Diceros bicornis minor: one gene and its partner. The protein of the gene in region 2 interacts with the protein of the main gene of each other region in a biochemical or structural test. Links are inferred from orthologs where the notes say so. Each region holds a gene or a part of one and is shown on either strand. Other genes may lie near its edges.

The links. The genes of interacting proteins can lie anywhere in the genome.
Region 1: the proteins of BMP7 (region 2) and BMPR1B form a complex in vitro, tested with the Homo sapiens proteins (2 studies listed by BioGRID). The link is inferred for Diceros bicornis minor from reciprocal best matches to the Homo sapiens genes BMP7 and BMPR1B.

The regions. Positions count from the first base shown.
Region 1 is NC_080747.1:78,225,786-78,233,778, forward strand, and holds the start of BMPR1B (bone morphogenetic protein receptor type-1B), read left to right. Parts: upstream 1-4,982; 5' UTR 4,983-5,134; coding exon 5,135-5,171; intron 5,172-7,993. UniProt on the Homo sapiens protein: On ligand binding, forms a receptor complex consisting of two type II and two type I transmembrane serine/threonine kinases.
Region 2 is NC_080758.1:6,231,646-6,238,604, reverse strand, and holds the start of BMP7 (bone morphogenetic protein 7), read right to left. Parts: upstream 3,010-6,959; 5' UTR 2,546-3,009; coding exon 2,128-2,545; intron 1-2,127. UniProt on the Homo sapiens protein: Growth factor of the TGF-beta superfamily that plays important role in various biological processes, including embryogenesis, hematopoiesis, neurogenesis and skeletal morphogenesis.

The sequences.
Region 1 (7,993 bases), on a different chromosome or scaffold from region 2:
GAATTGAAACTCCTTCAGCAGGTCCTAACATTGTTTTTTCTAAGTCTCAAGCAATCCGATTGCTTGGCATTCTGAACCTGTCTTTCCTCTAGAGGCTGAAACAGGATATTTTTGAGGTACAGTATGACCTCAGAGAGTGCTTTTAGCTTGGTTAATGTTAACATGTGAACAGAATTATTTTCCACACTTTAGTGGGCTTAGAGCAGAAATACTGTATTCTGTAGGAAGATAAGTACAACCTGTCTCCTTGCAAGTTGATAGCATTAAAACTAAATGACATATTGAGATTTTTGTGAATTTTGAAATACCCTTTTGCAAATTGGTGAAGGAGAAACATAGAGTCCTTTTTTGTAACCAAAATATGCTGATGTTAAAAAAAAAGATTCTCATATTTCAAATAAATAATTTTGAATTAGCAATTCTTAAAGAAATTATAATTCTCCTTAAGCATGTTTCTTATATGTATGTGTAACATATGGGTATTTATTATGTGTGGTGTGGGTATGTGATACTTATATGCTATTCTGTTAATACTGTTAATACAATAGCAATGTGTAATGTATAGAGCAAACCACAAGTAAAACATTATATTAAGTGCAAACTTAGTTCGGGTTTGCAAACTACAAAAAGTGATTTCAACAGTCTGCTAATAGTCTTTTATTAATACAACTATCATATTTTCTCTTTCAAAGTTGGTTGTAGATTGCAAAAACTAAAGCAGAGAGGAGCTCTTGATGTAATTTCCTCATCACTGTGACTCCAAGAAATTTTTATCTCAATTATAATATATATTAAAATTATCTTTATATGTGAAATAATTTTAGTCAGCCTTCTATTACCCAGTATATGAAAAATTACTCCTCAGAGCCAGATTTCATCTCTGGATAACCCCTTGATATATCTTTATTTTGAATAAGAATCAATAGTATGATCCATAAAACCAACCTTATTACTATCTGTTAAAGATAAATGTTAAGCTACCTTTACACCTTCTACTATGAGCCTAAATTTGTCATTTGTTATTCAAACCCCAAATTACGCAATCTTTTAGCCATTGCCAACATTTCTTCTCTAGGCTGAACTAAAATTTTCCCTTTATTTTGAATTCAGAAGGGCCAAATTGCATAGTTTTCACCACTGTTCCTGTGCTGCCATTAGATTCTTATATCCCAATGGAACTCACATCAAAAGTGCTATTTCATTGACTCATTTTCCAATGCGGGTCTCTCAAATGCTTACAGTCATGCAAAATATCCTTGTGTATGATTGATCTCATACAGCTTATTTCTTCATTAGCTTTATAATTGTTCTATTGAATATCCTTCTGTGCATTTTTTATACATGATGGTGAAGTTTGAAAATGAAAAACAACTGTGCCACATCAGTAATAGAATACATAGTAGTGTTCTGAGTTATTTTCAGTTAATATTATCAGTTAGCATATATTTAATATTTTCTCAGTTCCAAATGCACTTCATATTTTTTTTTTATCTTTTAATCCTTTGGAGGTAGCTTTATGTTATTACTATTTGCAGATGAGAAAATTGAGTCTTAAGAGAGTTAAGAAACTATCCCACAGTCACATAGCAAGTAAGCAGAGTTGGGATATGAATGCAACAGACTTATGTAATCTAAAGTTTTATGTTTATGAAAGGAAGTATTGAAATTGAAGGGATCGTTTAGATATTCTGGTTCATTTTTTGGTGATTGGCGTCTGGTTTACAGAGACTGCTCTGGGTAATGACTAGTAGTAGTTGCATAATAATTGTTGAATGAATTCCAGAGCTCTGAGTTCAAGTTTGGCATTTAGACTGGATACTGATAAATGATTGAACCTTCTTGGACTTCAGTTTCTCAGATCGAAAAATAATGAATTTAGGTGTTGGAAAAACTGGACATCCACATGCAAAAGAATGAATTTGGACCCTTGTCTTACATTATACACAAAAATCAACTCAAATTGGATTAAGGTCTTAAATATAACCCTGAAACTGTATAACTTCTGGAGGAATACATAGGAGAAAAGCTTCATGACATTAATCTTGGCAATGCTTTCATTGATATGCCACAAAAAGCACTGGCAGCAAAAAAATAAATAAATAAATAAACAAGTAGAACTACATCAAACTGAAAAGCTTCTGCACAGCAAAGGAAACAACAGAGTAAAAAGGCAGCCTACAGAATGGGAGAAAATATTTGCCAAACCATGTATCTGATAAGAGTTGATCTCCAAAATATATAAAAAACTCCTACAAGTCAATAGCAAAAAAACCCCTAATACCCGAATTGAAAAATAGGCTAAGGACTTGGATATTTCTCCAAAGAAGACATACATACATGGCCAATAGGTATATAAAAAAAGTGCTCAATGTCACTAGTCATTGGGAAAAAGCAAATCAAAACCACAATGCGATATCACCTCATACCTATCAGGATGGCTGTTGTCAAAAAACAAAAGACAAGTGTTGGCAAGGATGTGGAGAAATTGGAACCCTTGCATACTGTTGGTGGGAATGCAAAATGGTGGAGCCACTGTGGAAAACGGTATGGAGGCTGCTCACAAATTAAAAATAGACCTACCATATGATCCAGCCATCCCACTTGTGGATATTTATCCAAAGAATTGCAGTAAGGATCTCAAAAAGGTATTAGCACACCCATGTTCATTGCAGAACTATTCATAATAGCCAAGATACGGAAAAAAACTAAATGTTCATCAACAGATGAATGGATAAAGAAAATGTGGTGTATACATACAATGGAATACCATTCAGCCTTTAAAAAGAAGGAAATTCTGCAATATGTGACAATATGGGTGAACCTTGAGGACATTATGTTAAATGAGATAAGCTAGTTAGAGAAAGAGAAATACTGCATGATTCCACTTACATGGGATATTTAAAATAGTCAAATTTGTAGAATCAAAGAGTAGAATGGTGGTTGCCAGGGGTTGGGTGCAGGGGGAAATAGGGAGTTACTAATCAACAGGCACAAAATTTCAGTTAAGCAAGGTGAGTAAATTCTAGGGATCTGCTGTACAACATTGCACCTCTAGTCAACAATGCTGTGTCATACACTTAAAATTTGTTAAGAGGGTAGTTCTCAGGTTAAGCGTCTTACCACAATAAAATAGCATTTAAAAAAAGAAAAGAAAAAGAATATGAAAAAAGAAAAATAAGTTTAGGTTAACTATTCTTTCAGACGCAGAGCTTTTTGTTCAAATGAAGTCTTTTCCAGAAGCTATTTTTGTAGAATAGATAAAATCAGACATGTTCTTCTTGGAGATGTAATAGTGGGAAGAGGGAGTGGTTATAAAACTTCTTTTGCTTTGTTTGCCCCTACCCCTAGGCAGTTTGAAATCTACTAGATGAGATGATCTTTCATTTCCAAGATAATTTGGATTCTAGATCTCCTTAACCAGGCTCTTCTGAAAGGTCTGGCTCATACTTGGACTGAGCCTTAGGAAGATCTACAGTATGGAGATAAATAACATGAGAAGTAAACTACTCTTGAGTGGGGGTTGCCTTCGGCACTCAGTTGTTTCCAGTTATTATGGGATCCAGTTTAGGGATGTTATGTCTTGACTAGCATACGCTGTTTTAGGGACTGTAGTATTCTCTTTCATTTTTGGAAGAAATTCCTTTACCTTCTGAGAATAATTTTCCTTTCCTCCCTGCCCTTAGGCGTTTAAAACATTTACTTGAAGCATGTGTATTACTCCTATTTGGCAACTGTAGTTACTTGTCTTTACTTTTTCTGGGACAAGCAAGGTAAAGTTGGAGCTTTAGCATTACTGAAATCATCCTATCAGCTGAAATATTTCCTTATATAGTGTCTTCTTGCTCTAATATTTCTAGGCAAAACTTAGTGTACTCATAAATTGGGGAATAATAATATATATATTTTTTGCTTTACGTTTTTCTTTCTCAACATTACAAAACTCGGAGGAGATAAGGAAGATGTAGGAGCCTTTTGGGAGACCTAGTCCACTGCTACCTTAATTGGAATAGGGACACTTAGTGGCATTTTGCTTCTTTTCATTGTAAATATATTGTTCATCCCACCATAATCTCTCAAAACAGACTATAAAAAAGGGCAGAGGCAAAGTCTCAGATATAGGATCAGAATGTATCTCAGACTTAACTGATGGGGTGGACTATTTGGCTGCCTCCCCAACGTTCATTTGCCAGCTTCTCTCCTACCAATGGTCCATGGTTTCCTTCTGAGTATCCATGAATTTCCAGGGAAGCTGACTTCACCTCCTGCATGCAGTTGAGATCAAGACAATAGGGTATTTCATCCTTCTGGCTCTAGTGATGTGTGCTGGGTGGGTATGTGACCTAAGCCGATTCAATCAAAGTGAATCACAGAGCTTTCACTGAGTGTTTTAGAACAACAATGCTTTCTTTTTTGGTGAACTTGAGCAAGGGGAGTATTTAGCCTCAAGAATTGCTGGCCCCTGTGTTGAAATAATGAGCTAAAATGGTATAGTGGAGAAATGGATCCTTGGCTATTCTGTTGAACTGTTGGATCATGCCTTACCTGAAGCTCATACCTTACTTTAGGCTTATTCTTAACTTTTTAGTTATGGGAGCCAATAAAACTTCTTTATGTGCAAGTTAGTTTGAATAAATCATTGCCACTGAATGAATTTTGCCTGACATATCAAAGGCTTTGGTACTTTTGCCTGCACTTTCCTAATTTAGTTTACTTTCCTAGAAGTAAAATCTCCTGTCTGCTTAGACCTTAGTTTCCTTGCCTATTGAATGAAGAGTTTGTATTGGACTCTACAAAATATCTGTTGGATCACCTTTTTTCTCTGCTTCCAAGAAGTGGAACTCATGTCTGTTAGATCAGAAACTTATCAATCTCCCTCTTCCTATTCATAAAGACCTATCCTCCTGCTATCCAGACTCTAGGAATGTGGATTCCTGCAGTACCATACATAAAACAGCATAAATGTCATATATACTTTTAGTCAATTTCACAATCTGTGATTACCACTCTCCTTTTTTAACCCAGAAATAAATTTTTTTAAAGATGCAAGTTCTGAGAAAGAAATGGACATAGGAATGATGAAGAGTGATTATTTCCCCATTAATTTTCTTGTTAATCTATAATTAAGAAACAACATATGACTACAGGGAAGCTAAGAATTAATGACGCCAAAGGTAAGCAGTCTGTCCCAATATAAATCAGTTCATTTTGCTGTTGTTTTTTTAATAACACACTGGCTTCTTAACCTTAGCCAGCTATATCCTAAATGTTGTCAGTAGTTAAAAAAATTATGTGAGAATAGTTTCACAGATCAGCTCCAATCTTTTACCTAGTGTTAGAAAAACAACTCAGAGCAGATGTCTTAATATTCTAAATCCATGTCAAATTCACATGTAAAGAAAAGCACAGAAGTGCTTCGAAACTTGGACATGGTACTGGGGGAATTTTAATGAGAGATTGGATATTCATAAGGACTTTAACCATCGATTCAGAAAGATAAGGTAAAGAACCAAGTGGGTTTTTAAGGCTGAATGGGTGGTGGTGATGGTGGGAGGTGTTGGTGAGAAATAACTTTTATTGGATTGTGCCAAACGGTGACAGGCAGTGATCAGGGCTTTATAAGAATTCAGTGAATGGTAATTTGCAGCAATCCAATTTCATGCAGCAAAGATTACCTGCAAGGCACAAATTTCTTTTTCTTTTTTGAAAGTGACAGCTTTGATATGTGTGACTCAGTGATGAATGACTGTGAAATACTGTTTATGAAAAATAGGTGTGCTACTCCAGATTGTGCTGCAGGACATTTAATACTTTTTCTTCTGAACAGATGTTTTACAGATTTTGCAAATTGTGTATGAAACTCTTTTTGGTCTTATACATAAAGAAAAATTACATCATATTTAGGCCTTATATGGCTCTAATTTTTCTGTTGTGCTTGCTAGCCATACTTCAGCAATGAGTTTTCCTGCATTCTGAAGTATTACTTAAATTAAAGATATTTAAATTTTACAATTTTTATTTAAGGCCAACCATAATATTAGCCTAGAGGAGTGTGCCCTGGAGTTCAGATGCATCTGCCATTTTGAATGGATGCTCCGGGGACCTGTCTTATTTTGTTTCTCTCAAGAACACCTTGTTAAATTTAGTGATCATATCCAAAGTCAGCAATGCATGCTGAGTTGCGTGAGTTATTTGGCTATACATTGGGTTGCATTTTTTAAAGCTATCACTATTTTCATGGAATCTTACAGTGTTATATTGATTTATAGTTTGTGTGTGTGTGTGCGTGTGATGGCTACATTTGCTTTTTTACAGTTTAAAAAAATAGTTTTAAATAGTATCTTTGAATGGTGTTCATAAGATGAAAATCTAGTAGATAAAATTTAGAAAACAGATGACCTCAAATTAACTTATGTGTTGGCTTTTAAAAAAATATGTTTAGTTTAAATCATTTTGTTTTATTTTGAAACTTAATAAAAGGATAATTTTTCCTGTGGTAGAATAATAGGAGTTACTTTTAAAAAGATATTTCCTATCTCAAAATTCACCTAATATTTACTTTCTTTGCTTGAAAGTTATTTGTATGTAATCCATTCATCCCAAGTTCTTGAGTTTCACTGACAATAACTAGTAAACTCAGATGATCTGGACACAGCTAGTTCAGGTCACAGATGTAGTGCACGAGCAAGGGGCAGTGAGGGCCTCTCATGGGCGGACCAGTTCCTTCACTCACTATGGGTCACTGATGAACTGATTTGTCTCCACACCTGCATTAATGTATTAACATTTTCAGTTAAATTCAGTGAATACTGACACTATTACTATGATCAGATCATTAGGTGCCTCTAGATGAGAAATAGCTGTGGCCCATTTTCTGTTCCTCATGGAGCCAATGAATTACTAATGGCATAATGCAAAAGTAAAAATAAACAATATTCAAGACATAGAAACTATACAAGACACAGGCATTCTGTGAGGGTTCTTAGAAGGGCAGGGTCAGAGGTGGATGGAGAAAAATAAAATCATTATGAAGGAACCAATGTTTGAGGTCATTATTAAAGCATCAAGCCGCTTTTTTGGTGAGAGGAGATGGGGGCAAGAGGCACTCAGTTGGCGGAAATGGCTTGAGTAAAGATAGGGAGATAAGACCCTAGGAACTGGAGGAGAAACGAAGTTTCAGAATTGTATGCCTTAAATAGGTTGTGCCTGAAGAAAACTGCCATGTAATGAGTCTTAAATGTCAGGTCAAGAAGTGTTCACTTAATTTGCTAGGCAGAGGGGAACCATTCAAGGTTGAAAAGCAGTAACTTGGAACTGGGCTTTATGGAGAGCAGTTGGAACTCTGCTTAGGAAGAACTGGAATGCATTCGGAAGTTGCACAGATAATAAAGGGCTGAACTGCATTGCGGCAGAAGTAATGGAAAGAAAGGGATAATTCCTGGCACGTTGAGTATGTGGAATCCATTGTATTTGGCAGCTCTTTGGATACAGAAGATGAAGGAGACTGATGTTAAGGGTAGCTCTGAAGTGTTGATGCTCAGTGTCTCTGGAATGTTGGTTATTTTATTAACAAAATTGGGAAGTCAGAAGGCGGTGCTGTTTGTGGCGAGAAAACGTAGGAATTAGATAATATAGACTTCACGTTTGCTTTTTTTCCATAGCTCCAGCGGGAAAAAGTCTCATCTGATGATTAAATGTGTGGGTTTTTTTTATATTGGTATCTGCAAGTCATTCTAATTGGTATGTGAAATTCTTTTATAAATTTCTTAGTTTGGAGTTATGTGCAAAAAAACCTATATTATTGTGCATAATGGCAGACCAGTTACATTTTAATCTTGGTAATCTAAAAACAGTTCAAAGTGTTGAGATCTCAGTCTACTTTCTGATTAATCTTCTGATTAATCTTTCTGATGGATCCACAACACTGGGTGGATCCATCTCTTGCTGTGTTGTCATACAAATGAAGTGAAAGACCTGAATTTTTTTCTAGAAGTAC
Region 2 (6,959 bases):
CCGAAAGCAAGACCTGAGAAAGTCAGGACTGTCCCACAAAAGCCCAAAGCCAGCCCAACTGATTAAGAGGCTCAGACAAGCTGGTCTTTGTCCTTTCAAGATGAAAGAAATGGGTCTAACGGGGTTGAAAGGTGTGTGTACAGCCAGAGGAAAACCACCCAGCTGCCCCAAACAAGTCCCAGCTTGCTCCCCCCACCAAGAGGGGGCAAAGAGCCCTGCCCCCAGGTCGCCAGAGGCGGCCAGTCAGCAACCTGGTCCTTCTCTGGGGAGGGGGAACGCCCAGGTCTGACCATGCTGCTGGTCCATAAGAAGCAGCACTGGGTCTGCAGAGCCTTCCACAGAAGCCAGGGCTTACAAATACCTTTATAATGACCCCAGCCAGGCTCTGGAGGCCACCACCGGGACCTGCTGCATTCACTCGGAGTCCCGGGTACCCAACAGAACAGAAGATGCCATGAATCCCCGCCAGAGAAAGGGCCATGTTAAACCCTGGCTTCAGGATGGCTATAGAACTCTGCTTTAATTTACTTGTTCATATGTATGTATTTGGAATCTTTCCTTAGTTTCTGGTATAGGCCATAAATACACAAGGTAAAAAAAAAAAAAAAACATCACATGGATAGACAAAAGTGCAGACAAGGAAAGATCAGACCCCAGCTCCCAATCCCAAAGCCCCAGCCCCAGTTTCGCCCCACCACTCCCAGCCCTAAAATCTATTTCCAGTTCAAGGTGTCTTCTTCCAGTGGGAACGGATGATACACCAGCACATAAGTAACCTCACTGATCTGCACCTTGATTTTTCCACCTCATACATCTTGGAGATTGTTCTGAATCAGGACATATGGAGCCGCCTCCTTCTAAGAGGTTGCTTAGTATAATTTAAACTTTCTTGAAGTTATTTTGGCATCTAAACCTCCCACCCCCTTGCTCGCTGAAACTCGTTTCACTATTTGATTTTTGGCTATTATTAAGGACAGACAATGGCGTCCCGAGAACTCCAGGGACTTCATCAGGAGCCGGAGGCATTAAGGTTGATCCCCGCTTCCCGGCGCCCCCATCCACGCCCCAGGTGCCCAGCGGGGGACTCAGGATCATTATTCTCCTGTTGACCCAGCGCCCGTGGGCGTGAGTTTGCTGTCCTGACTTGGTTCGGATTTTCGCAGCAAGTTACACGCGTAGAATGAACGCGGCTCAGGAAACAGCGCTATCGGGGCGTGTTATCTCGGAAACCAAATATTTGATCATCAGCCCTACAGCGCGCCGCCGGGGGTTAGTTTGAGCAAGTCTGGTGAATGTGGGGGCACAGATGGAAGGGGAGCAACTTCGCCCCCGGGGCTGTCGCGGCTCCAGGCGGGAGCCGGGTCCCCCAGCCGCCCCCGGCGGCGTCTGCTTGGAGATCCCGCGCCACCCAATCGCCAAAAGCCGTGGTTTGCGCGCTACACGTGATAAACGCTGAAAATGGATTCTGCCCGTCCGGGACCTATCATTAAATATTTAAAATAGAAAGCTCGCAATGGCAACGTTTCTTCTCTAGCTCCAGCCAGGAGAGAGGAGAGCTAGGGGGGCGCCCGGCGGCCAGGAGAGGAGCCCGGAGGCGCTCAGGGCACGCAGCATGCTAAGGCGGGCGCACCGCGAGGGGACAGGTAGGGTTGCCAGGGCGGGGAAGGGGGCGCGACGCCCGCGATGCCAGGGCCAGGCGGGGCTGAGAGGGGCCCAGAAAGGGCGGGAAGGCAGCTCCACCGAGCAGGGCCTTTTAAATCCAGGTAGCGCGGGAGCGCCGGCCGGGCACAGCTCACATGACCCGGCCCCGCGCTTTGAACTGAGCCGCGGCCGGCCCGGCGCCTCCTACTCCAGGGGTGCGGCCGCCGACTTAACCCCGAGGGGCTTCGGACCAGTCCTGCTCTCCCCAAAACTCCCAGAGGCCAGATGAGCCCCGCCCGCCCTACCTGGGGCGCGCACAGCTGGGGGTCCACTAGGACCTGGGGTAGGAGACCCGTTGCCAGGCACTGCAGTTTCACAAATGGCCAGGAGTGGAAAGATCGGCGGGCTGGATGTAAGAAGTGGCTCCCTGTCCCAAAGCGCCTCCTGACCGAGACGCGCGCCCCCCCCCCCCCCGCCCTCACTCACCAAGGTTGACGAAGCTCATGACCATGTCTGCGTCGGTGAGGAAGTGGCTATCTTGCAGGCTGGCCAGAGGGGGGCCCTGGGTACTGAAGACGGCCTTGTAGGGGTAGGAGAAGCCCTGGCCGTCGGGCCCGCCGCTCTCCTCCACCGCCATGGCATTGTATAAGTCCAACATGAACATCGGCGCCGAGTTGTGCTTGCCCTGGAGATGGGGGCGCGGGCGATGGGGCAAGCCCAAGATGGAGAGGATCTCGCGCTGCATCTCCCGCCGCTCCTGGCTGCGGAGACGCCGGTGAATGAAGCTCGAGTGCACCTCGTTGTCCAGGCTGAAGTCGGCCAGGGCAGAGCGCAGCAGGAACAGGGGCGCCCAGAGCGCCACAAAGCTGTGAGGCGCAGCGGCGCGCAGCGAGCGCACGTGCATCGCGCCGGCTCTACGCGCGACCCGGGCTCGGGGCGCCGGGCGCCCGGGCCCGCGCCGCCCCAGGCGGCGGAGGGGGGCAGGCGGGCGGTCCACGCCGCTGGGTCACTTGCTGCAGACGGGCCCCGCTGCGCCCGCGCCGGACATGGCCCCTCCCCGGCCGGCTGCGCTCTGCCCGGACCCCAACCGCCGGCTCGGCGCTGGCCCCGGGGCCCCTCGCCCCGCACTCTCCCGGGCACACCGCGGGGCTTGGAAACCGGCGCGAGCGAGCGAGCGAGCAAGGAGGCGGGCGCGGGTGGGAGGAGCTGCCAGCAAACCTAGGAGCCGGGAGAGCGAGCGCCGGGGAGGCAGCGAGGCGGCGGGCGGGCGGGCGAGCGCTTCTTCTTCCCGCTCCTCTCGCGCTCTCGCCCTCGGGCGGCGGCGACCCACCCTCTTCCGAACTCCGGCGCCGAGAGCAGGGGCCCCGGGTCGCTCACCCAGCTCTGCGCGCCCTTGATCGCACGAGAGGCCGCCTCGGGAGCCCGGAGTGGTACGCGCTGGGGCCTGGGAGGAGGAGGAGGAGGAGGACGGGCTTCCAGGGGCCCCTCCCGCGCCCGCGGCCTCCCACCTGCCCTCGGCCCCGCCCTCCCCCCAGCTGCACCCAATGGGTTCATTCATTCCTTCCAGTGCGCTCCACAAATATTTACCGAGTGCCCACAGGGTGCCCAGCGCCCGGCCGGACGCCGCGGGGATGCGGAGGGAGGGATCTGAGCCGGCCCTGCCCTCTCCGGACTGCAGTCGAGACTGGGAAGGAGACCTGAGCGGGACCCGTGGGATTCAGGCTGCGGTGGAAGAAACTGGGGGAATGGGCAGGAATCGGAGAAGGCTTCCCGGAGGAGGTGACCCCCAAACCCCTCTCGTCCCTCTGCCCCCGCCCTTCACTCCAGCCACGCTGACCCCTCCGCGCCTCCCCGTGCTTGTGCAAGCTTGTCTTTGCACTTGCCGTTCTCTCTGCCTAGAACTCTCTCCACTCCCTTTATCCCTCTCCTCCATCAGTGCCTAGGCTGGCGACTCTCCCCTCCAGGTGCCACTCAGGTGCCACTTCCTCCCAGAGACCTTCCTGGACCAGCAAAGCTAAGGTCGCTTCCCCACCTCACCTCCCCCAGCTCCCGCTGCCCCGCCCCCACACACACACACACTTGTTTTATTCTCTTTAACGCCTCTCACAGTCTGCAATTACTGTTTGAGTCATCTGTGCCTTCTTTATTGTCTTGTTTCCCTCACTGGAAATGGAGCACCCTGGGGGCCCAGGCTGGCCTCCCTAGGTTGCCCTTCTAGCCGCAATGCCTAGGACCCAGGGCCTGGTAGCCCCTGTGGCTAGACAATCATTATTTATCCAATGAATACATGAAATTGTGTGAGCTGGAGAATTCCCTTCCACTTCCTCCCCTTTGGGTACCCGTTTAATTCCAACCACTTCTCAGCCTGAGACCAGACACCCCGGGCCCACCACCCCATACCTTCCCCATCAGCCCCTGCCTGGCAGTGTCTGAGGAGCGTGCAGCTGGGCTTGCACCCAGTTTGCATCCAGTTCACCTCTGAGGGTCTGTGCCTGGGACCCCCCCAGACAGTCAGCCGCTCCTTGCCTCCTTTATCCCGTCATTCAGAGCCCGGCTCATGTGGCGTGTGGACACAGGCACCCTAGACACCTCAGAACCTGCTGTGGGACTTGAGTGAATTACTGCTCTTCAGAACCTCGGTTTCTTCATCCGTAAAAATGGGAGTAAAATAACACTTCATCCAGAGCGGCAGTGAAGACCATGGGGTTAAAGTTCAACCTTCCTCCTTCCCCTCTGGTGCCCCCCCAGGAGGCAAACCCACAAACCAGTGGCTCCCTTCTGATGGGCTACATGGAGGATCGCCCCAGGGAGTTTGGGGACAGAGGTTTCCTTTGGGAGAGTCTGGCTAAGCCTCACTTGGGGGTGAGAGAAAGCTCCAAGAGCTGGTAAAGAGGAACCTGGTCTTCTAGTTTTCTAGAGCAGAGATGGCTCTGCCATGCGGCCCTTTGGGGGCTTTTGGACAAGTGGCAGCCTGAGGGGCCACATGGGTGGAGATAGGAGAGGCCAGAGGCCAGGCAGGGAGAAGAGAAATGCAAGGCTGCAAGGTCCTAGCCATTCATACCACATCCTCTGACCCTGTTATATGGCCCCAGGCTGCCAGACGGAAGAGGTCCTGAGCCCCCTCACCCAGAGCTGGGCCTCTGCCCACCGTCAGTCAAGGCACTCTGAAAACCCCTCCACCTGCCCTTCGTCTGTTAACTCCTTCCTTCAACAAAGGCTTGTGGGGTACTTCCTGGGTGTCAGGCAGGGGGGCTTCATGGGCCCAGGCGCCCGCACTCACTCAGAAGGGCCTCACACTTGGCTTAATGCTCTGCTGTTGCCGTCTTGCAATTCCTCATAATCTATGAACAAAGAGCCCCTGTTTTCATTTTGTACTGGGCCCTACAAACCATGTGGCCCATGCCGCTGCCAAGCACAGCGCCAGGCTGGAGGGTGCAGAGTGCGTGAGCCACACGGTGGCCTCCATCCCGAAGCTGGCCTTCAGGCCCGGGGAGACAAAGCAGGAACTTACACACGCTTTGGGGGCCGGAGGAGAGGCAGTGCTTGTCGGTCGAGCCACTCAGGGAAGGATGCGTGCACTCAACCACTGCAGCCAGGCAGAGGGAGCACACGGGAGGGTCAGGGAGGAAATGTGGAGGGTGGGAAACTAACACAGGGACCCACCGAAGCAGTCGGAGGAGCACTGGCTGGCCTCCAGTGTCCATCCGAGAGTGTACGACCCAGATCATTTTAGCCTGTGACAAGTGACAGGAGTAAATAAACAGGATGAGCTGAGGGAGGTGGGAGGGATATCTCCCGGGGATACGCCATTGACCTGAGTCCTGGAAGGATGGGAAAGAGAGGGCTTCCCAGGGAAAGGCAGCCCAGGTGGAGTGACCGGCAAGTGCACAGGCCCTGCAGAGTGAGCCACAGACACCGGGCTGTGTCTCCCCAGAGCTGCCCGTGTCCCCAGGGCTGGCCTTCCAGGGGCAGAGCCACTGCACTGCTCTGCTACCTCCGACGTCAGCTGAGATGAAGGAGGTTGCTTTCTTCCCAGGTCTAAAATGCTGCTCCTCCGCAGCAGCCTTCTCTAGTTTTCAATCCACTCTCAAATCTTTTGGGGGGATTTTAACAGGCAAGTGAGGCTTGGGGTGGGGGCAGCAGGTATTGGTGCTACTCATTTACATATGAAAACAACAGATTGGTCAGCATCTACCCTGTCCCCCCTCAGCCATGGCAGGGCCCTGAAGCGAGGATCATTTACCCCTCTGTGCATCTCACCTGAGCCCGCCTGAGCCTGGCACACAGCAGGTGCTCAATAAGTACCTGTTGAATGAATAATGATAAGCACAGCCAATAGCTACAGAGCAGGGTGGACAGAGGGCTGACTGTGCAGGTGCCGGGCTAAGGCATCTCCCAGGCTGCTCACCCACCACCCTTCCTCTGGGATGCCATCTTTTCTCGTGCAAGATGAAGAGACAGTGTGCTCTCCATATCCAGGACCTGGAAGAGATAAGCTTCCCTCTGAACTCCCACAACCCCCTCTTTAGCCTTATCTTTCCTGTGATCCATGCTGGGCGGGGGGGGTTTTGATTTTCCCTGCTTCCTCCCCCAAAGGAGACCCCAAGACTGCACCAGGCCTTCAGTGAGTGCTTGCTTGATTGCTGAATGAATGAATGCAAACAAACATGCAGGCAAGGGATGTCTGGCTGGGAGTACGTCAGATGCTGGTCTGGGAGCCGAGGCTACCAGCAAAGGCTTCGAGATTGTTTGGAGGAAGCCTCGGGTGAGAGCTAGCAGCCTGGACTCCGGAAGCCTGCCCACCTGGTTTCACACCCCAGCTCTGCTACTTCCAGTTGTGTACCCGGGGCGGGGGGGTAACCTCTCTGCGCCTCGGTTCACCCAGCTGTATAATGGGGGAACAATAGCGCCTGCCTCCTAGGGTTGCTATGAGGATTCGGAAGTTAACTCAATTCACATAACAGACTTCGCAAGGTGCCTGGAGCACAGAGAAACCATTTGATAAATGTCAGTTACCATCTGGATTAAAAGAAAATTATGTTAACAGGAAAGCCTCCTGAGTTTAAAAATAACAACGTAACTTTTCACGATGGTCTGCTTTTTGGCCAAGCAGAGAAAAGCAAATTTATCCTGACTTTGAGAGATCCAGAGCAGGAGCGAGAGAGCGAGAGCACAAGGGAGCCGAGCGGGAGAGTGGTGTTAGAGAGAAAGGATAATCCTTGCATTCCGATCCTCTTGTTGTCCCCCAGCCCCCCTGCCACGCCATCCAGGCCCAGGAACATCCCAGGGCCTATCTTGTTTCCCCAGCAGCCAGCCCC